Linked DNA regions of Pelodiscus sinensis. The protein of the gene in region 3 purifies or fractionates together with the protein of the main gene of each other region. This does not show direct contact. Links are inferred from orthologs where the notes say so. Each region holds a gene or a part of one and is shown on either strand. Other genes may lie near its edges. The genes, in order: POLR1C, EBNA1BP2, NCL and STAU1.

Region 1 (7,373 bases), on a different chromosome or scaffold from region 3:
CTACCCCCTCGCCAGCAGATTCCCCCTTGCCTTTGGCAAATGTTTAGCTAATGCCTGCCTAGCAGCATCCAGAGAGGGAGGATCAGTGATACAGTGCTAAACTGTATAGCACAAGAGGCCTGCAGAAGTGACCTCAAGTAGGTAATTCTGTCACGTGACAGATTTTAGGGATGATCTTGTGTGACATCACCACAGAAAGCCTCCATGTCCTAACGTTTTCTCTATCAGTAGATGAGACTTCAGTAATAAATACAGGTATCATAACATAAAACATGCATAACTCAGTTTAAGTTTGGCTTATAAAAGATAAATAGCAAAGTACATCCAAAACTCACATTTAGTCAGTAAAAAAGCCCAAAGGTGACACACAATAATCTTTACAAGTTTTAAATAAAAGCAGTGCTTACAGGTATGTTCCAGCTATATTTGTAGTGCTGCCCCATAAAACTAATTTAACTGGCTGATCAGACCAGCTTGACAATGATTTTCCATCCAGCTCCAACTTATCCTGACAGCCCTCACACACATCCCACTCCCAGCAGTGCCCAACACCTTAGCCCCCCTAGCCCCCCACTCACCTCAATATACTGCCCCCTCCACAGCTCCATCACTCTCAATCCCACTCACAACTCACCCTGGTACCTTTCTAGCCACTCCCTGGTAACCCCCAGTACAGCATCCTGTTCCTGTCCCAAGCTAGGGTGGCTCCTCCCAATCCTCACCATCCAGTCCTGGATTTCTGATGCAGGGGTGCATCTCTGGAATGCTCCAGCTGCACTACACCCTACGCTAGTTCATCCACTGCAATAGGCTTTTTCCCACTTCCCAGACAGCCCCAGAATAGGCCCTATCACACATCAAGGTTCCTGTCACCAATGCATTTCTAAGTCACACTCAAAATAGAAGCACCCCATGTAACTGACAGCAGTTCAAAGCCTGGTGCCAACCTGATTTGAAACTGAAATATTCCCTTACAATTATAGTGTCTGAAGTCTTCATCCCATGCAACAGGATAGCCACCAATGTGAAGACCAGCATAAGGGGGCCGTAGAGCTCACCTGCAATCTTCTACAAGGGTGACAGAGAAGAGAGGGGTTTGGTTAGTGCTGCAGAAAGCCAGACCACATTCAGATTACCTGGGAAGTACCCCAGACTTAGCTCATACTCTGGTCACTTGCTGACCTGAGCAATTATACAAAAGGCTGGTGATAGCTACCAAAGAGAAACAATCACATAAGTAAGACTTGAGGAAGAAGCTTAACAGAGTTATTGAGTCAGATCAGGAGCTAAAGTCATGCTTGTCCCACTGCAAGAGACAGGTACAGACGGGGTGTGGTACAGTGGGAATTAACCAGAAAATCTAGCAGAGGCACCATACAACAACATCTCTCTCACACAATTCATACATAATCAGTCACCCTGGCACATGCATGGCAAAGTGCTTTAACTAATTCCCTACTCTGGGAGAGGGGGGCAGAGAAAGAATGGAAGGCAAAATGAAAGGAGTCTGAGTCAGAGCCCAGGGTAGCCTGCTTTCAGGCCCAAGACAGCTGTAATTCACTTCTTGACAAAGTGAGCAAGAGCTGTCTGTAGCACTGTGTCAGCAGCACTTTGCTGACAGGCTTATTCCTTAGCAAACTGACAGTTTCAGAGAGCATTGAACTTGGAGGTGAATGTGAGTAGAGGGCAGGGCCCGATTGTCCCCTTGGTGCTGGTTGGAATTTCTGAACTCCCCTCAGGCAAAGGTGTGCAGCCTACTGATAGAGAGATGTGTGTGTTAGAAATATTTAACAACCGATTAAGTGCTCCTGTACTTTCTAAAGCGCATTTACTCAGGATATAGAATAAAAGCTCTCCACAGTGGAACTCACCTGGGGAAAATTAATCATCTTCATGGGGATCATGGATTCCAGCAGTCTGCACCTCACAGAAATATCAAGAGTGAGGAAGGAAATGAAAAAGTTAACAAGAAACCCAAGAAGCAGGAGATGCTGTATTCCATTCCCTGATCAGTGATACAAAGCTCCATATCTCTTCCCCTCTGACCCTCAACAAAGCCAGCCAGTCCCACTAACAGCCAGGCACCAGACTGGAAACAGTGCCTTAGAGGGGAAGAGGATTTGTATTGCAATCCTATCCCCCTGTGCACAAACAGTTTTCTCTGCCTGGTGTCCCGAGAGCAGGGTGACACCATGGCTATTATAAAGGAGATGTGCAAAGTGTTGCACTTGTGGGACAGATGAGGTTTTGTAGGGCTATGTATGCCCTTTCCCCACACTGTATGCAAGAGCAGTAACAATGAAAGGCTAAAGGAGCTGCTGGTTCAGCTCCACAAACCCTGTATCTTACACTTAGAATGGCAGCACTAGGCTATACATGAAACAACATGCATCTCAGGATGAACTGAGGGTAGCCCTTTAGGAATAATGAAGGGTAAACAAGGGAGGATCCTGGACAAATTTCCCCCAAAGGCTATCTCCATAGCAAGTCCATAAGCAGACGTGGATTAGTTAGGAGCTATCCAGGTCTTTATTATGTGAGAAACAGTGGGAGATGCTCCTCACTTTATGGCATGACCCTTCTGTCCTGTTCAGGTTGCATCTCTACCCCGTTATACTGGACCAGGAATACATGACAGGCCTTTCACAGTACCCCATGAAGGGGCCATAGTAGTGGACCGGGCTGCTCATACGAGGATGCGAGACTGAGATAACTGCATGGCCTAAGTCATTTGCCCCTGTGCTTAGTTTGCTCACCTGTTGCGAACCTGGATGGGCTCCACATCAAAGTAAGGTCTGAGAATATCAATGTTGGCATAGAGATTGAAGGCCTTCGACGCTTGTCTCTTACCTGCCTGCCACATCTGGGGAGAGAAATCAGTAACTGTAGCAGACTAAACATTCCCTTTGCAATGCCGTTCTGAGGCGCATCTCCTGGAACCAAAGCATCCAGTGGCTAAATAACCAGAATGAAAATTAAACATCTTTGGAGTGATCAGCATCCCATCCAAAGCCTAGGGGAAAGTAGGACAAAAGACATCAAGCCCAGAATGGGACTCAAGCTGTAGCACCCAGAAACCAAAGGTGAGATAGCTCAGGGTCATATTGGAAATGGCTACCTGGACCTAAAATGGGACTCAACATCTATAGCTCACTACAGTCAGAGCCAGACACAAGAAGGCAACACAGCCCGCCCCCCATCTCTTGCAGCGCTCTGCTCACCTGGTCAGCTACTTGCCGGCCCAGCTGTCCCTTAAAACCCTTCATGCCCAGGAACTCTCCATCCTCCTCGTCTGCCGCAGCAGCTTCTGCATCCACCTCCTCCTCCTCCTTCATGCGCTGGTGCATCTCGCCCATGTCCTCGAAGCTGGAGCCAGACGTGTCGTCCATGTTCTCCATGTCGATCACAGCGGAGCCGCCTCCCTGCGCCCCAGGGCAAAGGGTCGGGGAGTCAGGCTCAGCGCCAGGGCCGGGGAGCGCCCGTCCCAGCGCCGCGGCGCCCGCAGCAGGGCAGGCGCCACCCTAGCTCCCAAGCCGGGGAAGCGCAGAGCCGGGGGGGGGGTGTTGTGTTGGGGGGGGGCACAGCAGCGGCCCGCACCGCTGACAACCGCAGGGCCCCCCCGGCTCCCCCCTCCTCCCTGCCCAGCCCCGCACCTGCATATTGTCCTCGAAGCCGCCCCATTCCGCGGCGCTCCCGGGCCTGCCGCCGCCCGCCGCCGCCCCCCCGGGCCCGGACATCCTCCCCGTTGGCTGGGGGCACCGGGGCCCCCGGCCGCTCTGCGCCTCACTGCAGGGGCTCCGGGGAGCCTAGTCTGGAGACTGACGTGACTGACGTCAGAAGCCTCGGCAACTTCGGCCGAGGACGTGGATGCGCCTTTGCTCTCGCGAGATCTCATACTAGCGACCAGGTCTCGACGCCATCTTGGTTGTGGCATAAGAGCGAGCATGAAGGCGCCTCTGGGAGAAGGGTCTGGGGAGAGCGGTGCCTTATTATCAAGACAGCGTCAACCCAGCGGCGAAGACCCACAACCCCGCGATAGCAGTAGTGGCTGTTTCTTAGGTCAACGCCACACCCAATATGGTGAAGACCAAGTCGGGCTAAGGCGCCGGCGCCGCCAAAGCGGAAGGAAAGGTCCGTATCACGTGACAGGGCAGTGGGTATTCACTAATGCGACTGCGCAGAGAAGAGCCGGATTGTGGCCGTGTCACGTGCTGGGGGCGCGCCAGGAAGATGGCGGCGCGCGGCGGCGTGGAGGAGATGCGGAGCCGGGTGATACTGGGGGAGTTCGGGGTCCGCAACGTGAGTGAGTTGGGGGCCGCGCGCGAGGCAGGAGGGGGCCGGGCGCGCGCCCGGGTCTTGGTGAGCGGCGGTTGGGGGCGGTTTGCCCCTGGCACGCGGCCCCTGCTTCGCTCCAGCTCGGGGCTGGGCTGGCAAGATGCGGCCCCCTGACAGGGAGGGAGTCTGGCCGCTTCCTAGTCGCGCCCTGTGGCCCTGACCCCGCGTTTCCAGGCGCGGCTCGGGCAGAAGGCTCCTGTCCAAAGGGCTCACGAGCTGTGGTGCTGCCCCGGCAGGGGCCGGAGCCGCGCGCCCTTTAAATAGATGCGGTAGCCGGGCAAATGCAGCAGCAGCGTCGGGAGCCCTTGAAGTTGCCGCTGTTTAAAGGGCCTGCAGCTCCCGGCCCTGCCGCTTCGTGTTGCCTGGCGGCCGCCCGGGACTCCCGATCGCAGCACTGCCCGGCAGGGGCCGGAGCCGCGAGCCTTTCCAATGGCCGCAGCAAGCCCGGGCGGCTGCCGGGCAACGTGGTGGTAGCAGCAGGGCCGGGGCCCCGAGCCCTTTGCGGTGTTTTTACTTCAGAACCTCCAGCCCCAGACAACTCCGGGGAGAGGCGAGTCCCCAGTGTCTCCCCTTTTGCCCCAGGCCCTGCCCCTTCTGGCGGAGGGGGGTTGAGCCAGCCCATGACTAACATTCATGAAGTGGCCCACCCCCAAAAATTACTGCCCACCTCTGCTCCAGGTTCACACCACGGACTTTCCTGGCAACTACCCTGGCTATGACGACGCTTGGGACCAAGCCAAGTTCGAACAGGTAAGAAGCCACTGGGGACCCTTAATGGGGGGAAGAAAGGGGGTCTGAGCAGGCAGGGGGCAGGGAACCAGTGTTCCCTCTAAGATATTTTCCTTCCATGAGCGAAGTGAGTTTTGTCTTCTGTGCCTATAATGAGGTCACGTGCACTTGTTCGGATGTGTGTCACCATATCCCCCACCAGTGGTGATACTTCTCAAGAGACTCTCCCAGCATGCAGACCTGAGCTCTGCTCCCAGGGCAGACTCTGCCCCCTCGCTGCTCTTCCCCAGGCTGGCTGAGAGTCCCTGCCTGAGGCTGAGGGAAGCTGCTGCCAGTGCCCAGGGTTTGCAGGGAATTAGGTGCTGGGGCTGGCAGGAGGTTGCAGGGGTAGGGAACTCTGAGGGGAGAAGAGACGTGTGGGGGTGGGAAGAGGGATGAAGTGGGCCCCAGCCCCAGGAACAGCCTCACCACAGCCCAGCTCCAGCCTTGGCCTCAGGAACAACCGCTGCCCAGCAACCCGGCTCCAGCTTCAGCAGCCCACCTTTCCCCTGCAATATGGCTTGCCCAGGAAGCAGCTGGGCAGCCACTACACAGCCCTGGCAACAACTCCAGCTCTGGGGAAGGTCAGGAGCAGGCCCCAGCCCCTGAAGCAGCCACCCTCCATGCTGCCACATGGCCTGCCGTGGCCAACAACTTCAGCTGTGGGGAAGGGCTGGAGCTATGGTCAGGGCTGCATGGTGGCTGCCCAGCTGCTTCTTAGGTGGGTTATGTCGCTGGTAGCTACCCTGTGTACCGGGGCTGGGGCTGGGGCTGGAGCTGGCTCCAGCACCAGCACACAGGGCAGCTACCCACCATACAGCCTATCCCAGGAGCAACTGGGCAGCCACCATGCAACCCTATCCCTCCAGTCTCCCACAGAGCCTACCGCCAGCAGCTTACCTTCCAGTGGCTCTGATGAAGAGGTGGGCGGGCTTCAAATTCTTTGTGCACGCCTGTGCAGGCATGCACCCTAGAGGGAACTTAGCAGGGAACCTGTGAGGGACCAAGGCCTTGCAAGCGGCGGGGGTTGGGGGGGGAGAGACATTGGGGTCTCCTGTGGCTGGCCTCTGCAGCCCCATAGCAGGTGGCCATTAGCCACCTGCTCAATACCCCTCTGCACCTGGCAGCAGCCAACAAGGCTGAGCCCCTCCTCGTGAATTGGTACCTGGTGACTGCTCCCTTGCGTGTGCCCTACAGAATTTCCGGGTGGACGTGATCCACATGGATGAGAACACGCTGGAATTCGACATGGTGGGGATTGACGCAGCCATTGCTAATGCCTTCCGGCGCATCCTGCTCGCTGAGGTACCCACAGAGGCTTCCGGATCTTCATGCCAGGGCTGCATGACCCAGTTGCTAGTCCCATCAAATCCTGTCATGTCTTTTCTCACTGCTAGACCTGGCTAATGTTGAGCATCTTTGCGATAGACAAAAAATGTATCCTAACCTTCTCTTTCTCTGCCCAGAAGCTAGATTGTGTTAACTGGTAAAGAAGTTTGAAGGCAGGCCAGCTGGGGCACTAGCTCCTGGGAGTGTTGGGGGGAGTGAGACCCAGATCTTTGGAAAGGTGAGATTGTGACTGAAGAGTATAGAGAAGGCAGAATCTCCGAACTCAGTGAGGTGGAGAATAGGCTTGAAGTGCACTGAGGATATTCCATGGACTACAGAACTCAGTGTGCTCCAGGTAGTACAGTCTTTGACCCTGTAAACTAGAAGTTTATGTAATGAGTTTGTGTAAGAGAGCACCAGTGCTAAAACAGAAATTGTTGCATTTCTAGGATGAGAAGTATAGTCCAGCTGCTAATAGCTATTAAAGAGCCTATGCACAGATCTATGTCTCTGGTATAGGGCCATGTTCTACAACTGCTCATAATGGGTAATACTAAATCCTATTAAAGTTAGTGGTAACATTCAAATTATTAGCAATTACACAACACAGTTATTGGGAGGGAACCAGCAAACAGAGAGAGGGAAAGTGGTAAAAGCAGGGAATGAAGAAGATACAGGATCCTGATCTAGATCCTCCTTTGGTGATGGTATCTGTGAAGGGCAAGAGTTTGACTTACTCCAAAGAGGGTGGGGTGGAGCAAAAAAACTTTTGGCTGGGTATTAAGGAATGGTGCTTAGCAAAGAGTGCATGGCTGGGGTACTTACTGCCTGTCTCCTTTTCCCTCAGGTGCCAACAATAGCTGTAGAGAAGGTCTTTGTGTACAACAACACGTCAATAGTGCAGGATGAGATCCTGGCCCATCGCTTGGGCCTCATCCCCA
Region 2 (7,790 bases), on a different chromosome or scaffold from region 3:
CATATGAAGCACACACGTGTGTACACGCCTCCACTGGGGGTGTTAGCAGGGACTGCAGTCTCATTAGCACAGTGCACAGCAGCAGCTAGGCATATGAAGCACACACGTGTATACATGCCTCCACTGGGGGTGTTAGCAGGGACTGCATTCTCATTAGCACAGTGCACAGCAGCAGCTAGGCATATGAAGCACACACGTGTGTACACGCCTCCACTGGGGGTGTTAGCAGGGACTGCAGTCTCATTAGCACAGTGCACAGCAGCAGCTAGGCATATGAAGCACACACGTGTGTACATGCCTCCACTGGGGGTGTTAGCAGGGACTGCAGTCTCATTAGCACAGTGCACAGCAGCAGCTAGGCATATGAAGCACACACGTGTGTCCATGCCTCCACTGGGGGTGTTAGCAGGGAATGCAGTCTCATTAGCACAGTGCACAGCAGCAGCTAGGCATATGAAGCACACACGTGTGTACACGCCTCCACTAGGGGTGTTAGCAGGGACTGCAGTCTCATTAGCACAGTGCACAGCAGCAGCTAGGCATATGAAGCACACACGTGTGTACACGCCTCCACTAGGGGTGTTAGCAGGGACTGCAGTCTCATTAGCACAGTGCACAGCAGCAGCTAGGCATATGAAGCACACACGTGTGTACACGCCGCCACTGGGGGTGTTAGCAGGGACTGCAGTCTCATTAGCACAGTGCACAGCAGCAGCTAGGCATATGAAGCACACACGTGTGTACACGCCTCCACTGGGGGTGTTAGCAGGGACTGCAGTCTCATTAGCACAGTGCACAGCAGCAGCTAGGCATATGAAGCACACACGTGTGTACACGCCTCCACTGGGGATGTTAGCAGGGACTGCAGTCTCATTAGCACAGTGCACAGCAGCAGCTAGGCATATGAAGCACACACGTGTGTACATGCCTCCACTGGGGGTGTTAGCAGGGACTGCAGTCTCATTAGCACAGTGCACAGCAGCAGCTAGGGCATATGAAGCACACACGTGTGTACACGCCTCCACTGGGGGTGTTAGCAGGGACTGCAGTCTCATTAGCACAGTGCACAGCAGCAGCTAGGCATATGAAGCACACACGTGTGTACATGCCTCCACTGGGGGTGTTAGCAGGGACTGCAGTCTCATTAGCACAGTGCACAGCAGCAGCTAGGCATATGAAGCACACACGTGTGTACACGCCTCCACTGGGGGTGTTAGCAGGGACTGCAGTCTCATTAGCACAGTGCACAGCAGCAGCTAGGCATATGAAGCACACACGTGTGTACATGCCTCCACTGGGGGTGTTAGCAGGGACTGCAGTCTCATTAGCACAGTGCACAGCAGCAGCTAGGCATATGAAGCACACACGTGTGTACACGCCTCTACTGAGGGTGTTAGCAGGGACTGCAGTCTCATTAGCACAGTGCACAGCAGCAGGTAGGGCATATGAAGCACACACGTGTGTACACGCCTCCACTGGGGGTGTTAGCAGGGACTGCAGTCTCATTAGCACAGTGCACAGCAGCAGCTAGGCATATGAAGCACACACGTGTGTACACGCCTCCACTGGGGGTGTTAGCAGGGACTGCAGTCTCATTAGCACAGTGCACAGCAGCAGCTAGGCATATGAAGCACACACGTGTGTACACGCCTCCACTGGGGATGTTAGCAGGGACTGCAGTCTCATTAGCACAGTGCACAGCAGCAGCTAGGCATATGAAGCACACACGTGTGTACACGCCTCCACTGGGGGTGTTAGCAGGGACTGCAGTCTCATTAGCACAGTGCACAGCAGCAGCTAGGCATATGAAGCACACACGTGTGTACACGCCTCCACTGGGGATGTTAGCAGGGACTGCAGTCTCATTAGCACAGTGCACAGCAGCAGCTAGGCATATGAAGCACACACGTGTGTACACGCCTCCACTGGGGGTGTTAGCAGGGACTGCAGTCTCATTAGCACAGTGCACAGCAGCAGCTAGGCATATGAAGCACACACGTGTGTACACGCCTCCACTGGGGGTGTTAGCAGGGACTGCAGTCTCATTAGCACAGTGCACAGCAGCAGCTAGGCATATGAAGCACACACGTGTGTACATGCCTCCACTGGGGGTGTTAGCAGGGACTGCAGTCTCATTAGCACAGTGCACAGCAGCAGCTAGGCATATGAAGCACACACGTGTGTACATGCCTCCACTGGGGGTGTTAGCAGGGACTGCAGTCTCATTAGCACAGTGCACAGCAGCAGCTAGGCATATGAAGCACACACGTGTGTACATGCCTCCACTGGGGGTGTTAGCAGGGACTGCAGTCTCATTAGCACAGTGCACAGCAGCAGCTAGGCATATGAAGCACACACGTGTATACATGCCTCCACTGGGGGTGTCAGCAGGGACTGCAGTCTCATTAGCACAGTGCACAGCAGCAGCTAGGCATATGAAGCACACACGTGTATACATGCCTCCACTGGGGGTGTTAGCAGGGACTGCAGTCTCATTAGCACAGTGCACAGCAGCAGCTAGGGCATATGAAGCACACACGTGTGTATACGCCTCCACTGGGGGTGTTAGCAGGGACTGCAGTCTCATTAGCACAGTGCACAGCAGCAGCTAGGCATATGAAGCACACACGTGTGTACATGCCTCCACTGGGGGTGTTAGCAGGGACTGCAGTCTCATTAGCACAGTGCACAGCAGCAGCTAGGCATATGAAGCACACACGTGTGTACACGCCTCCACTGGGGGTGTTAGCAGGGACTGCAGTCTCATTAGCACAGTGCACAGCAGCAGCTAGGCATATGAAGCACACACGTGTGTACATGCCTCCACTGGGGGTGTTAGCAGGGACTGCAGTCTCATTAGCACAGTGCACAGCAGCAGCTAGGCATATGAAGCACACACGTGTGTACACGCCTCCACTGAGGGTGTTAGCAGGGACTGCAGTCTCATTAGCACAGTGCACAGCAGCAGCTAGGGCATATGAAGCACACACGTGTGTACACGCCTCCACTGGGGGTGTTAGCAGGGACTGCAGTCTCATTAGCACAGTGCACAGCAGCAGCTAGGCATATGAAGCACACACGTGTGTACACGCCTCCACTGGGGGTGTTAGCAGGGACTGCAGTCTCATTAGCACAGTGCACAGCAGCAGCTAGGCATATGAAGCACACACGTGTGTACACGCCTCCACTGGGGATGTTAGCAGGGACTGCAGTCTCATTAGCACAGTGCACAGCAGCAGCTAGGCATATGAAGCACACACGTGTGTACACGCCTCCACTGGGGGTGTTAGCAGGGACTGCAGTCTCATTAGCACAGTGCACAGCAGCAGCTAGGCATATGAAGCACACACGTGTGTACACGCCTCCACTGGGGATGTTAGCAGGGACTGCAGTCTCATTAGCACAGTGCACAGCAGCAGCTAGGCATATGAAGCACACACGTGTGTACACGCCTCCACTGGGGGTGTTAGCAGGGACTGCAGTCTCATTAGCACAGTGCACAGCAGCAGCTAGGCATATGAAGCACACACGTGTGTACACGCCTCCACTGGGGGTGTTAGCAGGGACTGCAGTCTCATTAGCACAGTGCACAGCAGCAGCTAGGCATATGAAGCACACACGTGTGTACACGCCTCCACTGGGGATGTTAGCAGGGACTGCAGTCTCATTAGCACAGTGCACAGCAGCAGCTAGGCATATGAAGCACACACGTGTGTACACGCCTCCACTGGGGGTGTTAGCAGGGACTGCAGTCTCATTAGCACAGTGCACAGCAGCAGCTAGGCATATGAAGCACACACGTGTATACATGCCTCCACTGGGGGTGTCAGCAGGGACTGCAGTCTCATTAGCACAGTGCACAGCAGCAGCTAGGCATATGAAGCACACACATGTATACATGCCTCCACTGGGGGTGTTAGCAGGGACTGCAGTCTCATTAGCACAGTGCACAGCAGCAGCTAGGCATATGAAGCACACACGTGTGTACATGCCTCCACTGGGGGTGTTAGCAGGGACTGCAGTCTCATTAGCACAGTGCACAGCAGCAGCTAGGCATATGAAGCACACACGTGTGTACACGCCTCCACTGGGGGTGTTAGCAGGGACTGCAGTCTCATTAGCACAGTGCACAGCAGCAGCTAGGCATATGAAGCACACACGTGTGTACACGCCTCCACTGGGGGTGTTAGCAGGGACTGCAGTCTCATTAGCACAGTGCCCAGCAGCAGCTAGGCATATGAAGCACACACGTGTGTACACGCCTCCACTAGGGGTGTTAGCAGGGACTGCAGTCTCATTAGCACAGTGCCCAGCAGCAGCTAGGCATATGAAGCACACACGTGTGTACATGCCTCCACTGGGGGTGTTAGCAGGGACTGCAGTCTCATTAGCACAGTGCCCAGCAGTGCTCTGGGGCCCTCTCTCGGTACAGACGGGGCAATCCCGGGTAAGAAGGGTCGGGCGGGAGACTCTTACCCGGGATGAACTTCTGCCAGCGCTGCTCCAGGTGGTACTTGAGGCAGCTGTTCCCCGAGGGGTAGATGATGATCTGCTCGTCGAAGTAGCACACGCAGTTGGCCACGCGCGAGCGGAGCCCGAAGACGTGCAGCGGCTGGGCCACGATCACGGACATGGTGGCTCCGCGCCGCGGGGCGAGAGACACGGGGCTTCACTCGGCCAGCACCAAGCGCCTGGTTGCCATGGAGACCCAGCGCTTCTGACCCGGAAGCGGAAGTGAGCATGCGGCGGCGGCCTTGGAGAGGCCGGAAGTGAACTTTCGAGGCGGCGCGGGCTGCGGCGGGTCCACGCGCGTGGCAGGGGCAGGAGCTGGCTGCGGAGGTAAGAGCGGTCGCGCGCTGACTGCAAGGCCCACGGTGCAGCGCGCTTGGCCGGCACGTGCCGTCGCGCCCCAGGGCCGAGCCCCTGCGCCGCGGCCTCGCTCCTAGCGCAGCCCGGGCGCCGCGGCTGCTCTTCTAGGCGTCCGCGTGACGCTGCTCCCTCCGCGGCTCCCAGGGGAACAGGCGGGCGGCCAAGCCGCGTGTGATTCCGATGGCGCTGCTGCAGGGAGAGCGGCGAGCTGTTGTCTCTAGATGTCATGTATGGTAACCTGAAGGGTTATCTGCAGTAACAAACAGAAAGGGGGGTTACACACGTGGCTTTACTACTGTTAACAGTCGCAGCATTAAAAGTCTTTGTTCCCTATAAAATGACGTACTCTCTAAAAGTCAGCTCCTCGCACGCAACCACTGACATTTTCAGCAGTTACACAGTTACTAATTACACATATTTGAACATCCCTAATCCCTGCCTGACAGGCCCCGCGCTGGGACCATGTGTGCTTCTGTGCCGTGAGCTCCATGCTTGTGCCTCTATGTACTGCCCCATGCACAGTCTCACGGCTTCCATTGGTTGGAAACTGGCCAATGGGAGTTGCTGGGGCAGTGCTTGTGGATGGTTTGCTCCCCAACAAGCATGTGGCAGAGAAACAAACATGGCCCTAGCAGCCAGTTACTTTGAGCAGTGTGTGGGGTATGACAGGCAGGGAGCCTGACCAAGAGTCCTGCTGGGATGCTGGTCATGAGACACTTAGGATAAGCATTTCCTGGCTAGATCTGTGCCTGGCACCCTACTTCTGCACACAACCCCTCTGTCCAAGACTCTGTACCCTCTCCAAAACCTTTTCTCCAGGTCAGAATCCTCTCCTGCAGTCATACTCCCTCCCAGATTCTGCACCCCAATCTCCTGCCCCAGGTCACAACCTCCTCCTTCACCCAAACTCCATCCCAGACACCACACCCCTTGCTGTACCCCAATCCCCTACTCCGAGGTCCCTTCTGCACCAAACCTCCATCCCAGACCCCACATTTCCTCCATTAGCATGGAAGAATATGGCTCTTGACCACTTACCAAATTCTTGGAGTACCCCTACCTGAATCTAGCATCATGTCCCTGCACAGGGAATATGACACCATCCACTCTGCAATCAACCATCTCTTTTTGGCCAAGCTGGGTACAAATGAGACACTTATACATCCTTATGCAGGTCTGTAGATACAGAGGTGAATGCAGTATGAGAATTCAAATTGAACAGAGTACATATCATCTTTATCTCTTTCTTTCTTCCAGTTAAAAAGATGGCAGATTATGAAAATCAGTCGTCGTCAGAGTCTGAGTCAGAAGAATCTGTCATCACCGACAAAGAGGTAAACTTCATACCGACAGGCTTGAAAAATATAGAAGACCCTCACAATTTGCAGAATTGTTATTTGCAATTCTGCATATTTGTGGGTGTCTCCTGGCGAGGGATGTACTTGTGTAGTTGACTAAATGATTAACACGCTTATCAGTTAACATTATCTACTACACGCCACACTCCCCTCCCCATCTCCTTTAAGGTTTAGCAGGCTGGTTCAGTCCCAGCTCCCACCTGGTATCAATCCCTGTGACAGCTCTTAGTGCTTATAGTGCAGAGCCGCAGTGGGGATTGATACTGGGTCCTGGTGCAAGCTGGGACTGAGCCAGTCTGCCCGCATGCCGGCTTTTAGTGCCAGGACCGGTATCAACCCCCCCTTGCCACTTTGCAGTACAAGTGCTTGTAGTGCAGAGCCACAGGAGGGGTAGTTGGTGGATTGAGTGGTAACAGTGCTATCCCTTATCAATTAGTTGTGTAGTCAACCAAGTTTTTGTTTACTACACATTTAACAGATTTACTCGCTTCTTAATATCCTTACTCCAGGCTTGAGTGGGACACGGGGGCCAGCAGCCATGGGGGACTTACCTTGGCTCCCGGCCTCTGCAGTGAACTCACAGTAGTGAGTTCCATGGTGAGTTTGGAGGTGACTGGGAGCAGTGACTCCCAGCATTGGTGAATTTCGCCATTCGCAGTGGTGCCAAGAATGCAGCTACGGCAAATTGCAAGGGTTTCCTGTATTTCTCAATGCTGTGTGGGGAAAAAGAGAGAGAATGCAGATGAGAACACATAACACTATACGAGGAAAGGAGTTGTGGTAGAGGGATAAGTTACAATGTCAAGCGTCCCCTATTAGACTAGCAATGTTCCACCACAGCATACTGCAGGGGTGGGCAATAATTTTTAGTGGAGGGTGGGGGCGGCATTCCAAGAGTTTGGTAAGTGGTCATGGACTACACTTCTATGGAGGGGTCAAAATGTTGTACCAATAAAAGCAAGCGGGATCTTATGAGAGGGATAAGGCAAAAAGCCACATTTATTGTAAAGATAAGAATAAAGAATAAAGAAAAGATAGAAGCAAACAACGTTTTTTAACTACTTATTCCTATCACTACTTAACCTTTATACATATACATATACATATATATAAACATTCATTCAATCATTCATCCATTCATTCAAGTTCTATGTATTTGTTATAGTTACCAGCCTGGAAGTTGCTTGTGACAGAATACTGGCCAGGTATTCTGTACACAAGTGATGGTAGTGGGGAGCGAAGTCCTGATCAGATGCACATCTGAAGCTCCTGGTAGGCTGTCAGCAGAACCTTGGACTCTGACTCCATAGTCTTTTAGTCCAGTTCTTATAGGAATTTCTTCCTATGCCAGTCTATGGAAATTGCTGCATCATGCTGATGTCCAGGGTGGCTGTCAGGTGCTTGTCAGTAATCTCATAGGGTGGACCTCCAGTACTTGGTTTTCTCCACTTGACACCTTTTGGTTGCACTGGCACCTGACGCCTTCTTCAGCCCTTTGTTGCTGCATTCTCAGGCTGGCACCTCTCAAAACCATTCATTCATCATCCAAGCACTCTCTCTCTT
Region 3 (7,893 bases):
AGAAAAGTGAATTTTGACTTGCCAGAATCATCTTCATCCTCCTCACTGTCATCATCATCCTCGTCCTCCTCCTCATCCTCCTCTTCCATCACTTTTTTCTTTGCATTTTTTCCATTTTTAGCTCCTTTGGCTGGAGTGGGAACTGCTTTCTTGGCTTGTGTAGCAACTGCCTTCTTGGCTGGAGTGGCAACTGCCTTCTTGGCCGGAGTGGCAGCCTTTTTGCCAGGTGTAGCTGCTGCTTTTGGGGTTACCACCTTCTTCTGAGGAACACCCTTAGGGAAACAAGACAAATCCAATGAGCATACGCAACTCCTAAATTGATTGTTCAGCTAATGAATGATATCACTACCCATCCCACCACAACCACCTATCCACCACAACCATTCAGCAAGCTAGCTCTTCTACTGGAGCACCTAGAAAGAGGGCCAATGACTATACCATAGAGCCACCTTGGCGGCTCACCACGGACTAAACGACTGTCCTTCATTTACATATAAAATATAAATCTCCCTGTTACATATGAACTTGTGCCACACCTATGCCTGTTTCTGCATCACCCACCCCCCGCCGCTTCCCTCCACATCTTGGACCTCTTGTGGTGGTGGGGTTAGCAAGTGCAAAGAGAAACCAATATTAAAAGTGCTTGGTAAGCGCTGAGTATTACCAGGTACCCTTACTAACAGCTACTTTGTTTGTGATAAAATACCCATAGCTAGCAACTCTTGAGTATTCGAGGGATGTAAAAATGTGAACCCATAGCCACTAAAAATAATGAATTACATGTGCTGCATGCACTGCGATATAAAACTTATATTGCAAAGCCCAAGCAAAGCCTCCCTTGGAGTGGAGCCAGCAGAAACTGCTGCTGGTCCCACTCCCAGGGAGAAGGCTCTGTTGCCAGCCCTGCTCCTGGGAGCCATCGTGTAAGCTGCAGGGGGTGGGAACCGCCATGGACAGCACTTGCTCCGGTGGTCCTGGCACAGCTCCCTGTCCTGGATAGGCGGGAAGGTGCTCCAGCCCCCACCAGTTAACCGGAACTAATAAACCTCAGCCGTTACAGATGAGGCTTACCGGATAAGCTTTTACATCCCAGTATTCTCCCCTAGCTTTATGGGAAAAGAACAAATTGGAAAATAATTAGTTCACTGAAGTGTTCCCTCAATACACTCAAAGCTTTACAGTGCTACATTTGAAGTCACTGTCTCAATCTATTTATTCCTCTATTTCATTCAGTGAAGGCTTCTGAGTTGTGTTTCTCAAATGATTAATTTTCAGTAACGTGTAACTGAATAGTTGCGTAATGGCATCATTTTTTTAAGCAGATACATGACTATTCGATAGTCCCTGGGGTGGAGCCGGTATCCAGAGCACTCCAGCCCCACACCTGGGCAGCCCCCGTGCCACTTTGCCCCCCCCCCTTACTGTCTGATATGGGGGCAAAAGTGCAGAGCAGCAGCAACCCCTGTCTGTGGGGAGATCCGAATTCCCTACAGAACTGCCTCTGCTTCGTAACAAAGGCCGGGGGGGGGGGGGGGGGGGAGAAGAGGAGGGGCGCCACATGTAGCTGACAGGATGAACTGGTAAACTTTTTTTTTTTTTTTTAATTGTATCCTTTGGTATATATGGTTGTGACTACTTTCTTCCACTATTTGATCTGAGGAAGTGGGTCTGGCCCACGAAAGCTCATCATCTAATAAACCACCTTGTTAGTCTTTAAAGTGCTACATTGTCCTGCATTTTGGTAAACTTAGGCTTTTTAGTTAATTGTTTAGTTAACTACGTGTCGACATCCCAATTCCCAAAGTAACATATAGCAAGCTAGAATCCAGATGTAAAATGATCACCTCTTCCTCACTGCTGTCTTCTTCCTCGGAGGACTCCTCCTCCTCGCTATCATCTACATCTTTTGGGGGGGGAGGAGCCACTTTCTTCTGTTTGGCTTGATTCTTCGGACTCTGGAAGAACGCACATGAGAGGTCACCCACTTAAGCTTCCATTGTAGAGAAATATATTTTTTTAAACGTAAAGTACCCCAAAGCCATAAAACACTTTAAGTCAAGATCCATTTTGACTTTTTCGCAAAACTGCTTCCAAACCGGCCTTGCAAGTGGTTGATTACAACGGGAGGGGGGGGGGGCACCCCTGCACGTCCACATCAAACCTAGGAACCTGCTGGCCTGTGTCCCCCGCATTAGGGGCCCAGGCGCTTCCCACACCACGTGACACGCCTGCTCACGAGCCACAGGGCGACTGCAGAAATTATTTTTTTACTGGACCAACTCCTGCGGGGGGGGGGGGGGGGGGGGAATAAGCCACGCGGAGCGCAAACCCGCCGAGGCTGCGGTGTGCGCGCAGGCGCAGAGCTTTAATGAGACAGTGGATGGAGAGGGGGGGGGGAATCCCTGGTGTATAGACACGCTGCCCCCCCCCCCCCCTTCAGACAGGGCCAAGCCCGCCCCCTATCGCGGCTCGTGCAGCCGGGGCCTCGCAAGCGCCGGGCGCCACAAAGGGCCTGGAACCACGCGGGACAGGCCGCGCCGCGTGCTCGCCGCGCCGGGGACACCACGTGGCCGCCCCACGCAGCCTGAGGCCTTCCCATCCGGCAGCGCGCGCCTCCGGCTCCGCCCCCCTCCTCTCCCCAGCGCGCGCGCGCCGACCCTCTGGCTTCCGCCGCGAGCCCCGAGGGGGAGCCTAGAAACAACTCCCCCCCCCCCCCCCCAACGGCCGTAGAGGGGCCTAGAAACCGCCCCGAACGCAGCGGCGCGGACCGCACCAAACCTAACGGGGGAGGGGGGAGGCACCATCCCCCCCCTCAGGGAGTCCCGAAACCCCCGCGCCAAGCGGCCTCTTCCCTCCCCCCTCCGGGCTGGGGCCTGGCCGAGTCCGCCCGGGCCTTCGGCTCGCCGCGCTGGGGCCTAACGGCCGCGGGGCCCCCGGGCCTGGCGCGCGCCGCGGGCCTCACCTTGGCGATCTTTACCATGATGGCGGCGGGGCGGCGCGGGCCGATCCGGGTGCGACAGGCGGCGGCGGGAGCAGCGACTCGACTGTGTGCTGCGCTGAAGTGAAAGAGTGAGCGCCGCCCCTCCCCCAGCCTCCCCCCTTGCTTATGCTTCGCTCCGCCCCCCATGGTCCCGCTCGGCCAACCCCTACGCGCGTCGCGCTTAGCTCCGCACGCCCGCCCAATCGCCGAGCTCCGAGGGGGGGGCATTCACACCAATCCGCGCGGGCTTGCCACCGGCCAATGGGAGCGCGCGTTACAGCGAGAGGTCCTGCCCGTTGGGGAGGAGGGGCAATATAGCCAATAGGCGGCTGCGCGCGGATGGGGTTCGGATGGGGGAGGGGATGGGGAAAAAGGAAGGGCGCAGCACGTGGCTCTGGGGGAACCACGTGCGTCTGGGACTTCACGCTGCGAGCACAGGGGTCGGGTCCTTACCCCATGGCGGGGGAAATGGGGGGAGACAGGAAGAGCCTGGGGCCGGCGATCAACCCAACCCTAGGGGCATGTGGCTGCATAGGAACCCCCGCCCAGGGACTAGGACAGGGCGATTTGCGCTGCTGATGACTTAGAGAGGGAGGTTTCTTAGTGATCTACACTCTTTTATGCTACTGCCCATCACCATGGTATCTGGGTTCCTTACAGTAGCAAAGTTCCTCACATATAATCAGGGTCAAATCTTGACTTTGGATAAGGACTCCCCCCTTTGTTTTGGTTTGTGAGAGTTTAAGATTAACCTATTTTCTCTCTCCCAATTTTCTTCCTTATCTTTTCCCTTCCTTCTTTATCCATCTTGCTCCTCAGTACTCTGTTTCTATCTTGTTCTTTGGAGGGGTAAGTCAACAATGCAAGTGAAGATGTAGTTGTAGTACAGTGCATTCCTGTGCTAGTTTTAATCTAGTTTAGGTAACAGTGGCACAAGTTAGCAATCAGAATGCATACCCAGGCTGCCCAGCTAGGCTAGTCTGTGATGAAGCCTTTGCCACCACTGTCCGGCTACGGTAGACTGTCATGTCTAGACTGTCATGATTTTCCGGAAATGCTTTTAACGGAAAAGTTTTCCGTTAAAAGCATGTTCGGAACAGAGCGTCTAGATTGGCACGGACGCTTTTCCGCAAAAGCACTTTTAGGCCAATCTAGACGCGCTTTTGCACAAAAAAGCTCTGATCGCCATGTTCGTGATCGGGGCTTTTTTGCGCAAAACTAATCTCAGCTGTCTACACTGGCCTTTTTGCGCAAAAGGGACTTTTGCTCGAACGGGAGCAGCATAGTATTTCCACAAAAAGCACTGATTTCTTACAGTAGGAAGTCAGTGCTTTTGCGGAAATTCAAGCGGCCAGTGTAGACAACTGGCAAGTTTTTCCGGAAAAGCTGCTGATTTTCTGGAAAAACTGACCAGTCGAGACACAGCCTCCATGTGTGCTTTACTGTCTTTGGTTACCAGTGCTACAAATCACACTGTCACTTGCAGTATGTATAGACATACCTGCGGAACACAGGCCAGACTGTGGGTTATGCTCACTTCCAATGGCAAGTGAGATAATTTTGCATGGGCAGTGGGTGACGCTTCCCCTGGGGGAGGCTAGCTCCGTGTCCAGTCTTCACCATAGCATTACTGACCCTGTCCACACTCCACCTCAGGTCCCGTCCCCCCCCAGCCTCCGTGCTTCACTCCTGCTGCTGCTGCTCACCACATCCTTCTCACTCCTCCCCCCACTGCTCGCTTCCTCACGTGCTGCCTGCCACTTCCCTCCTCACCCCTGGCACAGCGGGGATGGAGCATGTGGCGGAGAAGAGGGACACAGCAAGTGGTGGGGACTTACTGAGGAAGGGATGGGGGGGAGGGAGCAATAGAGTAAATGAGGAAAACTCACCAGGAAGCACAGCTACAGCAGGAGGTTAGGGTCTTGGGGAAGAGACGGTGCATCCATGAACCAGGTGGAAGGCAGTGATGGCCGCCCCCTGCCTATCACACTCACCACCCTGTGCAATCTTGAATTTAGATGGCATAAAAAGTAAGAGCCGTGGCACATAAGAACGCCTAGACCAAAGGCCCATCTAGCCCAGTGTCCTGTCTTCTGACAGTGGCCAATGCCAGGTGCCCCAAAGGGAATGAACAGACCAGTGATTTATCCCTCATAGACTTGGAGGGTGCCTCTAGACTGGCAAGATTTTGTCTAGGGTGCCTCTAGACTGGCAAGCTGTCTACACTGGCCGCTTGAATTTGCGCAGGAGCGCTGACTTTGTAATGTACAAAATCAGTGCTTTTTGCACAAATACTTTCCCACGCCCACTCGGGAAAAAGCCCTCTTGTGTAAGAATACTTGTGCAAGCGGGCCAGTGTAGACAGGGAAGAACTGTTTTGAGCAAAAAAGCCCCGATGGCTAAAATGGCGATCGGGGCTTTGTTGCGCAAAATCGCGTCTAGACTGGCCACGGATGCTTTTGTGCAAAAGTACTTTTTGTGCAAAAGCATCCATACCAATCTAGATGCGCTTTTGTGGAAATACTTTTAACGGAAAAACTTTTCTGTTAAAAGTATTTCCGCAAAATCATGCCAGTCTAGACGCAGCCATAGGCTTTTAAGGTCAGAAGGGACCATTATGATCATCTAGTCTGACCCCCTGCACAACGCAGGCTACACAATCTCACCCACCCACTCCTGAAATAATCCGCTCACCTATATCTCAGATATGGTTTAAAGACCCCCAAGATGCAGAGAATCTTCCAGCAAGTGATCCGTGTCCCATGCTACAGAAGAAGGTGAAAAACCTCCAGGGCCTCTGCCAATGTACCCTGAAGGAAAATTCCTTCCCGACCCCAAATATGGCGATCAGCTAAACCCTGAGCATGTGGGCAAGACTCACCAGCCAGATACTATAGAGAACCTTTCCTGGGTAACTCCTATCATCCCTCCATTGGCCAATTTACCATTGATAGTGAAAGGTCAATTAGTTACCAAGATCATGTTATGTCATCAAACCATCCCCTTCATAAACCCATCCCTTGTCACCCATTCCTAGCTTCTGACAAACAGAGGCTTGGGACACCATTCCTACCCATCCTGGCTAATAGCCATTGATGGGCCTAACCTCCATGAATTTATCTAGCTCTTTTCTGAACCCTGTTAAAGTCCTGGTCTTCGCAACGTCCTCTGGCAGGGAGTTCCACAGGTTGACAGTGAAGAAAAACTTCATGGTTTGTTTTAAACCTGTTACCTATTAATTTCATTTGGCAACCGCCTAGTTCTTGTGTTATGGAAAAGAGAAAATAACAGTTCTTTATTCATTTTTTCCACACCAGTCATGCTTTTATAAAACTCTATCATGGACCCTCCTTAGTCATCTCTTTACATGCAGATGACAGATTCCATTATACACACTAAATAATCTTTGCTGTTGGTAGATCCTATTCTGTACAAAACAGCTAAGATTTCACAGTGCAACCTGTATAAATCCAGTACATTTTAGCTGACAACACTGTCGAGAGCCCATTAGGCATGGCATTCTTCAAACAGAGTGGCTACGTCTACACTGGCCCCTTTTCCGGAAGGGGCATGTAAATTTCACTAGTCGTCGTAGGGAAATCCGCGGGGGATTTAAATATCCCCCGCGGCATTTAAATAAAAATGTCCGCCGCTTTTTTCCGGCTTTTAAAAAAGCCGGAAAAGAGCGTCTAGACTGGCCCCGATCCTCCGGAAAAAGTGCCCTTTTCCAGAGGCTCTTATTCCTACTTCCTCTTATTTCTTATTCAAAGTAGGAATAAGAGCCTCCGGAAAAGGGCACTTTTTCCAGAGGATCGGGGCCAGTCTAGACGCTCTTTTCCGGCTTTTTTAAAAGCCGGAAAAAAGCGGCGGACATTTTTATTTAAATGCCGCGGGGGATATTTAAATCCCCCGCGGATTTCCCTACGACGACTAGTGAAATTTACATGCCCCTTCCGGAAAAGGGGCCAGTGTAGACGTAGCCAGTGAGAAGCAATCCCCGTCTCAAACAGCTTAATCTATAAAATGTCACCCCTATCTGGAAGTGTAGACATATCCTTACAACACCTTCTGTCAGTGGCACCTATCACTTCATTTTCTGTGACATCACAATTCCCTAGGACGTATTAGTCACTATATTCTCCATCTCTGTGGCATTAATTCCCCGCCCACTCTGTACCGGAAGGCTGCAATGTAACAACTTTAACCAACTCAACATGTAAGTAGAGAGTGTGACAGAAAAAGGAAGATTGCATCTGCCTGACATGCAAATCAGCTAAATCTGCAAGGGGCTGGAGTTTAAATCTCTCACTCAGGGTTTTCCAGGAGGAGGCGTCAGAACCTCTATTTTTAATTTAAAAATCATAAAAACTGGTTTTTTGGCCCAAAATATAAGGCAGGAGGCAGATCTTCATAACCCACGAGTTGCTTGAGCTGACAAATGCAGAGAAGCTGTGAGCATAGTTAACATTCCCTTGAGATGAAGGGGAAAGAATTTCTCACTTTTCTTGTCGCTATTATTTTATTCTTTCTGGGGATTTACAGCGGATGGAAAAGGGCAAAACTGTAATTCAGCACAGGCTTGTCTTTACTAGAACACTAAATTGTGTCTAACAATGTTTTTAATTATGGTAGAGGGCCTGCTGCTGGCCACGTCTGACTCAACAGGGCACAAAAGGACAAGCCGTGGTCAAAGCAAGCATCATGTTGCAAGTGGTGGGTAGACCGGGAGGCCAGTAGATTTTCTCCTGAACTAACTGACAAAATGTTGACTATCATTTGCCCATGTCTGTGCTAGGGATGTAAAATCCCATTTCATTGGTTAACCAGTCAACCATGTTTAACTGGTTAATTGATTAAAGAGGGACAGGTGGGGGGTGCCTGGGTCGGAGCTGCTGTAGCCTTGCCAGGGCAGT
Region 4 (8,233 bases), on a different chromosome or scaffold from region 3:
ACGCGCCCAGAGCGCTGGCAGCCAATCTGCGGCACTTCCGGGGCCGGCGCTCACCGTGCGCCATGCACCCGGGGCCGGCTCTGGTATCATGCATGCGCCACGTGCCCAGGGCCAGGCCAGCCCCGAGCACTTGGCGGGCGCCGTGTTGGGGACCACTGATCTAAATGGATTTCGGGTTGCATACGAGTGCAATGGCCGAGACAACAGCTTTCCTGAGGAGTACCACACACTTTGGCCGAACTGTTCTCTGAGTCAGTGCTGCCAAAGCACCCACCACCAAGCACGAACACTGCTTTGTAGTCACCTAAGGTGGAGCACCCACGGGAACACTCCTCGAAGGGAAGGTTACTCACCCTGTGTAGTATCTGGAGTTCTTTGAGATGGCTGTCCCCATGGGTGCTCAACCATCCACTCTCCTCTCCTTGGCTTCAGATCCAACTACAACCAGGTCAAAGAAGGAACTGAGGAGGTGGTTGACTGTGCGCGTGGGATGACCATTCCAAGCATCACGTGCCAGCACTCTGCATGCACAGACAACCGCCTCCTTAGTTCCAACCAAAGGGGTACAGCTATAAAAAAAAATCTGCCAACCATGGGCGCAGCAGCACTGGCACATCTAAGGTGGAGCATCCACGGGGACAACTGTCTTAAACTCCAGTTACTGCACAAGGTGAGTAATCTTCCCTTATAGATAAACAGTTTCTTGGGGGAGGGGAGTGTTTGGGGGAGGACAGACTGCTATGTGTGCAAAATGAAATCCTATATGTAAACTAAGCAAATAGGAAATAGCTGTCTAGGCCACGGCCATGCTTCTTGTTTCTGAATGCCTTTTACATGTATTTTTTGTATTCAAAGGGTATAGACCTTCAGTTGATACACACTTCAGCCATGAGGATATTGTAAGTTATGGAACTTTTTCTGAAGGAAATACCTGTCCAACTCTGTTCCAACCCCTAGTTATTGGTTGTAATTATACAGGCATCTTCTCTATAACTTCAGTGTGATCAGACTTTTTGGAATTTGACAGGTGTGAGAATAAAAATTAATCCTGTTTAATGATGCTAGTCATCAACTTCAAATACTGAATAATCAGAGAAAAACAAATCTCCATAAACTGTGAGGTCTTACTTTTTTAATGTTCAACCATTAGTTTGGAAATGTGTGCATGTAAGACTGCATACTGTTTTGAAGCAGGAGCCACATAGTTGTCTAGTGTATAACATATTGACTGCCATTTTGGAGTCAATAATTAATACTGTCAAATCCGTAAAACACCTGCTAAATTTTTCCTTACTGCGTTTTTTTATTCTCTAGAAGTATACAGTAATAGCTTTTTAAGTAGGAACTGTTAAGTAAAAAGTTCCTTTCTTTTTGTTCAAATAAAACAGTGAGGTATAAAGTTCAGTGGAGCACAAGTGTAAGGCCAAACAACCAATCATAGTGATCATGTTCCTGTCCTAAAGCCTTTGTAATTGCAGTGCAATATTTCTTAAATCATTTACAACTAATTACTTTTATTATAGTAGCATAAAGCAGCAGTGGGTCTTACAACCCCATTTTAATGGGGCTCCCAGGGCTGGCTTAGACTTGCTAGATGGTTTATTAGATGATGAGCTTTCGTGGGCCAGACCCACTTCCTCAGATCAAATAGTGGAAGAAAGTAGTCACAACCATATATACCAAAGGATACAATTAAAAAAAATGAACAAATATGAAAAGGATCTTAGTGGATTGTTCACTTTCAGTCCTTTGGGTACGATGTCCATTTTCTTGCACTTGGATAGAAAGATGATGTCTGTCTGTATCTGTGCGAGTTTCTTCATATGGTTGATGGATTTCCATTCCAAACGGCTAAATGTAGTGCCTTGCATGTCCTTTGGTATATATGGTTGTGACTACTTTCTTCCACTATTTGATCTGAGGAAGTGGGTCTGGCCCACGAAAGCTCATCATCTAATAAACCATCTTGTTAGTCTTTAAAGTGCTACATTGTCCTGCATTTTGCTTCAACTACCCCAGACTAACACGGCTACATTTCTATCACTATTAGACTTGCTGGGATCCAGGGCCAAAGCCAAGCCCCACCAGTCAAGGACAAACGTATTGGGACTTAGGCGACCCTCCTGATGTTGAAGCCCTTGGGCTTCAGTTTTCATAGAATCACAGAATTGGAAGAGACCTCAGGAAGTCATGGAGTCCAACCCTCTGCTAAAAACAGAACCAATCCCAACTAAATCATCCCAGCCAGGGCTTTGTCAAGCCAGGACTTAAAAACTTCTAGGGATGGAGATTCCATCACCTCCCAATCCAATGCTTCACAACCCTCCCAGTGAAATAGATTTTTCCTAATATCCATCCTCAATCTCCCCCACTGCAACTTGAGATCATTGCTCCTCATTCTGCCATTTTTCACAATTGAGAACGGACTGTCTCCATTCTCTTTGGAAACCTGCCTTCAGGAAGTTGAAGGCTGCTATCAAATCCCCTCTCGCTCTTCTCTTTTGTAGACTAAATAAGCCCAAATCCTCCGCTTCTCCTCGTAAGTCATTTGCTCTGGCCTCCCTTTTTGTTGCCCACCGCTGGACTTTCTCCAGTGTGTCCACATCCTTTCAGTAATAGGGGGCCCAAAGAATTGGATGCAATTCGCTAGATGTGGTCTCACCAGTCCTGAATCAAAGAGAATAATCACTTCCCTAAATGCTACATCTACACTGGCACGTTCTCATGCAAAACTCTTTTGCAGAAGAGTTCTTCTGCAAAAACTCTTCCAGAAGAAAGCATCTACACTGGCATGTGCTTTTGTTCAAGAGATGTGCTTTTGCGCAAGAGCATCCATGCCAGTGTAGATGCTCTCTTGCGCAAGAAACCTCTGATAGCCATTTTAACCATAGGGCTTTCTTGCTCAAGAAATTCATGGCCAGTGTAGACAGGAAACTCTTCTGGAAGAGCTCTTGTGCAAGAGGGCTTATTCGTGAGCGGGAGCGTCAGTTCTCATGTAAGAAGCCCTGATTTTATACATTAGAACGTCAGTTTACTTGCGCAAGAACACGCGGCCAGTGTAGACAGGCAGCAAGTTTTTGTGCAAGAGCGGCCAGTATTGTGTGAGATCGCACCAGTGTGATACAGCCTCAGTCTATAGGGAGCTGCAAACCTCTTTCATCCACTGGGGCAGGCTGGGGGGAAGGTTGAGGCAGGGAGCCTTCTGGGCTACCTAGACCTTGGTATCCTCCCAGCCTTCAGAACCACCTGGTGTGTGTCTGTCTGAAGATGATCTGTGCCATCATATGCCACCAGTACCTCTCTGCCATGTATATTAGTCAAACTGGACAGTCCCTATGGGAAAGAATTAATAGACACAAATCAGATATCTGAAAAGGCGACATACAGAACCCGGTGGGGAACATTTTAACTTGCTCAGGCCCTCATTAATGGATTTCAAAGTCACTATTGTTTCAGGCCAATTTCACAAGCCAACTACAGGCAGTCCCCGAGTTACGCGGATCCGACTTATGTCGGATCCGCAGTTACGAACGGGGTTTGCTCCGCGTCTCCCTGGTCTGCTGGAGACCAGCAGACCAGGGAGACTGGGAGCAAAGCCTCTGAGGACGCCGGCAGCGGGACAGCCGCAGCGCGTCTGGGCTGTCCGCTGCCCGCGTGCTCCGCGACTTTGCTCCACGTCTTCCTGGTCTACTGGTCTCCAGCAGACCAGGGAGACATGGAGCAAAGCTGCTTCCTGTAGTCAGCCGCTGGTCAGTTTTAGCAGTGGCTGAATCTGGACGCCAGTTCCGACTTACATACAGACCCTATCTTGTACGTAACCCGGGGACTGCCTGTATACAGGGAAGCCTTAGGAATCAAACCTGTAAATGAAGTTAAGTTCTATCACAAAGGTATGAATAGAGACGTTAGCTGGATGGCCAACTACATTCCTAATGACATCAAAAAAATAATTTGCACCTTCTCTATCAGCTTCATGTACACTCTATCTCTTCTCCCCCTCCCTTTTCCCCTCTTCCTCCGTGTGCCCTATTTATTTAGAAACTGAACCTTTCATCGGAAGAAGTGGGTTATGTTATGTCTATAAAAGCCCATAATGTCATCTACATGTTTTTGTAGTCTTTAAGGTGCTGCAAGGCTATTTGTGGGGTTTTTTTTTAAGTTTTTGTCGTTACAGACTAACTTGGTTACTCTTTTGAAGTGTCTGTCACTCTGGTGGCAATTTAAAGGGCCCAGAGCTTTGGCTCTTACCACTGTAGTTGCAAGGCAGCTTCCCCTGCCTGCCTCCCCCGGTTGGTAGGCCTCAGTACAGTGTCACGGTGGCACTACAGCTTCCCCAATGCAGAAGTCAATACTAGCGCCATTGCTCTAGGGACCTGGATGTCTTATCTTCAGGTTCAACGTCGCTGAATTATTTCCTGGCTCCAACCCACACGGCCCCCTTGGCTCCCTCTCCCCTCAGTGCCATGTGGCAATCGCCTCGCCCGTCGCTCTCTGCATTTCCACCCCCTTAACCCCCCACGACAGAGAGAGGGGGTGTGTGTGTGGGGGGGTCCCAGCCCCCACAAAGGCCCCAGTGGGGGGAAGGGCTTGGAGCACTGCGGCCGTGCCTGCCCCCCGCAGGCTCCCGAACCACGCGGCGGTCGGATAAGCCTGCCCAGCCCCCATGAATCGAAGCTTCAGGCCCTGCTTGCTGAAAGGCTCCGGGTACCCCCAGCCCGGGGCCGCGTCCGGCACCGGCTTCACGGGAAAGTTTGACCAAGTTCAAGTCCCCCTCCCTCAACGGCGAGCGCCCGAGCGAAGCCGAGCATGCCGGGAGCTGTAGTCCCCTAGGAGGTGAGCTGGGCTGAGCGAGCGGTGTATGCCGGGAGCTGCAGTCCGGCCTGAGGCCTGCGCTCCGCGCCGGTCCGCCGGCGGATTGGCTGCGAAGGCTACAATGGGCGGTGCTATCCGGTACTACAGTCCTTCTGATTGGCTTCCTCGCTCCCGGCGTGGTGTCGTCACTTCCTCCCCGGCCGGGCCTGCCCCCGGCGCTCATTCTCTTTAGTGTTTGCCCTGTGTCCGCCGCCTCCCTTCGCCACTGCGATTTGCCCCCCCTCTCCCAGACCCCCACCCCCCGCCTCGGGACCCGGCCAATGGACTGAGACGCCCGCCTGCCCGCCCGCAGCACCAGCCGGCCCGGGAGCCGCAGCCCAGGCAGCCAGGTGAGGGGGGCGGCTCCGGATTCCCGGGCAGGGGGACGGGGGGAGGCGGCGGGGCCTAGCGGGGGTAGCGGCGGCTCTGGTGCCTCCAGCTGTGGGGTGCGCGAGGAGGCCGGCAGCGGGGCTCCTGCTGGGCGGGCGTGGGAGTCGGTGCTCGCTAGGGAGCAGCTCGGGCAAGGGCAGGATTCCCCTTCGCCTGGCGGGCATGAGCCGGACTCGTCTTCGCGGCGAGCGGGCCGTGGGGGGCCTGGCCTGGCGTAGGGCGAGGGGGCCTGGCTCAGGTTACAGAGCGGGGCCTGGCTGAGGCTTGTGAAGGGAAGCGGGCCGCGCGGGGTAGGATTCGGCTCCCTGTCCGTGGGGGAGGCAACTGAGGGGAGTATCCCGGGCCTCGCCCCGTTAAACGCACCGACCCCCAGGTTCATAGGCAGCTGCAGCGCAAGATCCACCCCCACCTCCCGCGCATAGCGCTAGAGTGGGTGTCAGCTGCAGCATCAGCCACCCCCTTTTCCTGTCGTGACACCAGTTTTTGGTAGCTGTAACAGCAACAGGTTCCTGGGAAAGCTCTGTTCCCCCGTTACGCCTGTGGGATAGGAGCATTTGTCCAGTCCGTACCTGCTATTCCATTGTGTTAGAGCCCCGGTAGACAGTATCTTGATGCACAGATGGAAAAAATATGTAGCACTTTAAAGACTAATGAGAGAGTTTATTAGGTGATGAGCTTTCATGGGCCAGACACACTTCGTCAGATCATATTCTAAAAGAGAATTGGCATTCCTGTATATAACAGCTTTATGTGGTGTGTTTTTTTTTTTTTTTTTTTTTTTTTTGCCTAAAGAGGTGGAAGAATGTGATGTGTGAGGATGGAGAGGTTAGATCACAGTCACATACACAAAAAATGCCAGACCATCAATATAATTCTCTATCCCCTGCTTGTGTAGCAAATGTGTAAAATAGATTCATAAAGATCTTCTGAGGTTTTTTAACCCTTATAATTCTCACTTTAACATACAACTACAGTAACTTGTGGCAATGGCTGAACTATGGCGGGGGAGGAACTCCTATATTTTTGAAATAGAAATGTCATTATAGTGTTAACTATTTAAAGCTAATTGGAAATCAGTTAACCAGGTAAAAAACTTGAGTGTAGATGTCCCCTGAATAATTGATTCCCTCCCTCATCCACACACACATACTTGCACACTTCCCTGTCCAAAATCCTTATTGGGTTATACAATTTCATTTTTAACAAAACTGTACTGTGTATGTGTGTAAGTTTAAAAAAAAACCCACTAACATCAATAGCTTTTGACAGCCAGGCTTCTCGAATGTTTCATATCTTCAATTTTTTTTTCCTGTGTTGGTCTCTGTCAAGTCAATCTGCAGATGTTAAACTATCTACAGATTTACCTATATCAGCACAATTGCACAGATACAATTACAGGATGAGAGGTAAATTTAAAAAGTGGGCTGCTTGTATCATGATGTCATTGAATAATATACATTTTATCCTACAAATGTCTGGATTTTTAAAGCCCCATTTAATAGTCTTTATTGGTAAATTTAGAAATTGTGAAAGTGGTTTGATTATTTTTGCACATTTATAATTCAAAAAAGAGGAGTTAATTTTATTTGTTATAACAAGACTTTCAACAGTTGCACTGATAAATTTTCATAGACATAAAGATATATTTATGATGCAGGTAGGTCTCTTGATTATTTTATTGGACTGGACTAATAACTAAAAAAAATGTGCTTGTAATGTTTTAGAAAAATAAATGTTTCATTTTAATTATTTTTGTGATAGCGTAAACTGTTAGCATTTAAAGGCTTACGTGTTATCTCAGTTATCATTAATCCACATCCTCTCTCCTGGGTGTTGTCTTCTCTGTTTGTGAAGCAATATGTAAATATCACCTATTTTAATTATTTTTAGCTCTATTTTATACTGACACAGATATTAGCTTTTGAGGGTTTTTTTTTTTTTTTTCTTTGATTTATAGAAAGTTGTCCAGATATGCAACCTTGCTCAGTTAGTGTTTTTGCATTCTGGTAACTCATTTTTTCCTGTAATTGATAGAGAACGAGAGGCCAGTGTCCTTTTTTGACAGGTATTTAATCTTTCAATAATAAATCTTTGTCTAGTCTACTTTAACACTAGTTATAAAAGTTAAATACTCAGTCCCATCAGAGCTGCTTCATACTGTAGGTTAAGCCATGGTCGCTGAGGTTTGATTTACACCTAAAACCCCGGTCAACCTAGTTATATTGTTCAAGGCTGGGGGAGGGGAGGGAGAGATTGACCCAGTTAGGTCATCGCTTTTGCCTGCCTTCCCCAAAGTGTAGGCCAGCGAAAGAATTCTTCCATCGACATAGGTACTGCCTCTTCTGTGAAAGAAAAAACATTATTTTAATGCAATAAGTGTCTGCAGCTGTTTTTCTATAGTATAGGCATGCCCTGATATAGATTATTGTGGAATATTTTGTAAAGTGATCTAACTCTTCAGAGCTATTGGAGTTTGTGGAAATTTGGACTTGAGGTTCCAATAATGATTTGGTGTAGAGGGGGAAGAAAGGAAAGGAGAGAGGAGCATCATCAATTCCTGCAGTATTTAACCTTTCATGTTTAAAAAAGTGTTAGCTTTTATAGTCATAAGGAAAATCCAACTTTGTAATGTGGTTCTGTCTTCCTGGGTTTGCAGACAGCAGACTTAATCGGTTTCATTGTTGCCATTGTGTTCTTACTACTATAAGTGAAACTGATGATCATGTTTTTGCCTTTGTCATGGCTACTTGGAAAAGTTGTGAACAGGCAGGATGATGAAACAAATGACACAAGGCGAATATAGAAGTGGAAGCTGAGTGAAGACTAGAGTAAGAGTGCTTTGAGGAGTCTAGAGGAGATGTAAAGTAATGGATTCTTCCATACAGTCAGGAGACTTGAGATAAGGGAAGAGGTTGATACCTATTACCCTTAACTACCCAGAGGCTGATATTGGAAACAATAATAGCATCTTTTTTGGTAGCCACCAGCCATC

Evidence for each region.
Region 1: the proteins of NCL (region 3) and POLR1C purify together in Homo sapiens (affinity purification with mass spectrometry; 3 studies listed by BioGRID and IntAct, with this or other methods). This does not show direct contact. The link is inferred for Pelodiscus sinensis from reciprocal best matches to the Homo sapiens genes NCL and POLR1C.
Region 2: the proteins of NCL (region 3) and EBNA1BP2 purify together in Homo sapiens (affinity purification with mass spectrometry; 3 studies listed by BioGRID and IntAct, with this or other methods). This does not show direct contact. The link is inferred for Pelodiscus sinensis from reciprocal best matches to the Homo sapiens genes NCL and EBNA1BP2.
Region 4: the proteins of NCL (region 3) and STAU1 purify together in Homo sapiens (affinity purification with mass spectrometry; 4 studies listed by BioGRID and IntAct, with this or other methods). This does not show direct contact. The link is inferred for Pelodiscus sinensis from reciprocal best matches to the Homo sapiens genes NCL and STAU1.

What each region holds. Positions count from the first base shown.
Region 1 is NC_134713.1:139,251,584-139,258,956, forward strand, and holds the start of POLR1C (DNA-directed RNA polymerases I and III subunit RPAC1), read left to right. Parts: upstream 1-4,198; 5' UTR 4,199-4,230; coding exon 4,231-4,299; exon of another isoform or gene 4,300-4,303; intron 4,304-5,013; coding exon 5,014-5,085; intron 5,086-6,300; coding exon 6,301-6,408; intron 6,409-7,279; coding exon 7,280-7,373. Other genes in the region: protein YIPF3, read right to left, coding at 976-1,068, 1,872-1,917, 2,757-2,863, 3,222-3,422, 3,654-3,737. UniProt on the Homo sapiens protein: DNA-dependent RNA polymerase catalyzes the transcription of DNA into RNA using the four ribonucleoside triphosphates as substrates.
Region 2 is NW_027465825.1:545,622-553,411, forward strand, and holds the start of EBNA1BP2 (putative rRNA-processing protein EBP2), read left to right. Parts: upstream 1-4,704; 5' UTR 4,705-4,839; intron 4,840-6,126; 5' UTR 6,127-6,134; coding exon 6,135-6,203; intron 6,204-7,790. Other genes in the region: CFAP57 (cilia- and flagella-associated protein 57), read right to left, coding at 4,477-4,633. UniProt on the Homo sapiens protein: Required for the processing of the 27S pre-rRNA.
Region 3 is NC_134720.1:50,310,523-50,318,415, reverse strand, and holds the start of NCL (nucleolin), read right to left. Parts: upstream 3,098-7,893; 5' UTR 2,981-3,097; coding exon 2,963-2,980; intron 1,956-2,962; coding exon 1,845-1,955; intron 273-1,844; coding exon 23-272; intron 1-22. UniProt on the Homo sapiens protein: Nucleolin is the major nucleolar protein of growing eukaryotic cells. It is found associated with intranucleolar chromatin and pre-ribosomal particles. It induces chromatin decondensation by binding to histone H1.
Region 4 is NC_134728.1:20,553,452-20,561,684, reverse strand, and holds the start of STAU1 (double-stranded RNA-binding protein Staufen homolog 1), read left to right. Parts: upstream 1-5,037; 5' UTR 5,038-5,201; intron 5,202-8,233. UniProt on the Homo sapiens protein: Binds double-stranded RNA (regardless of the sequence) and tubulin.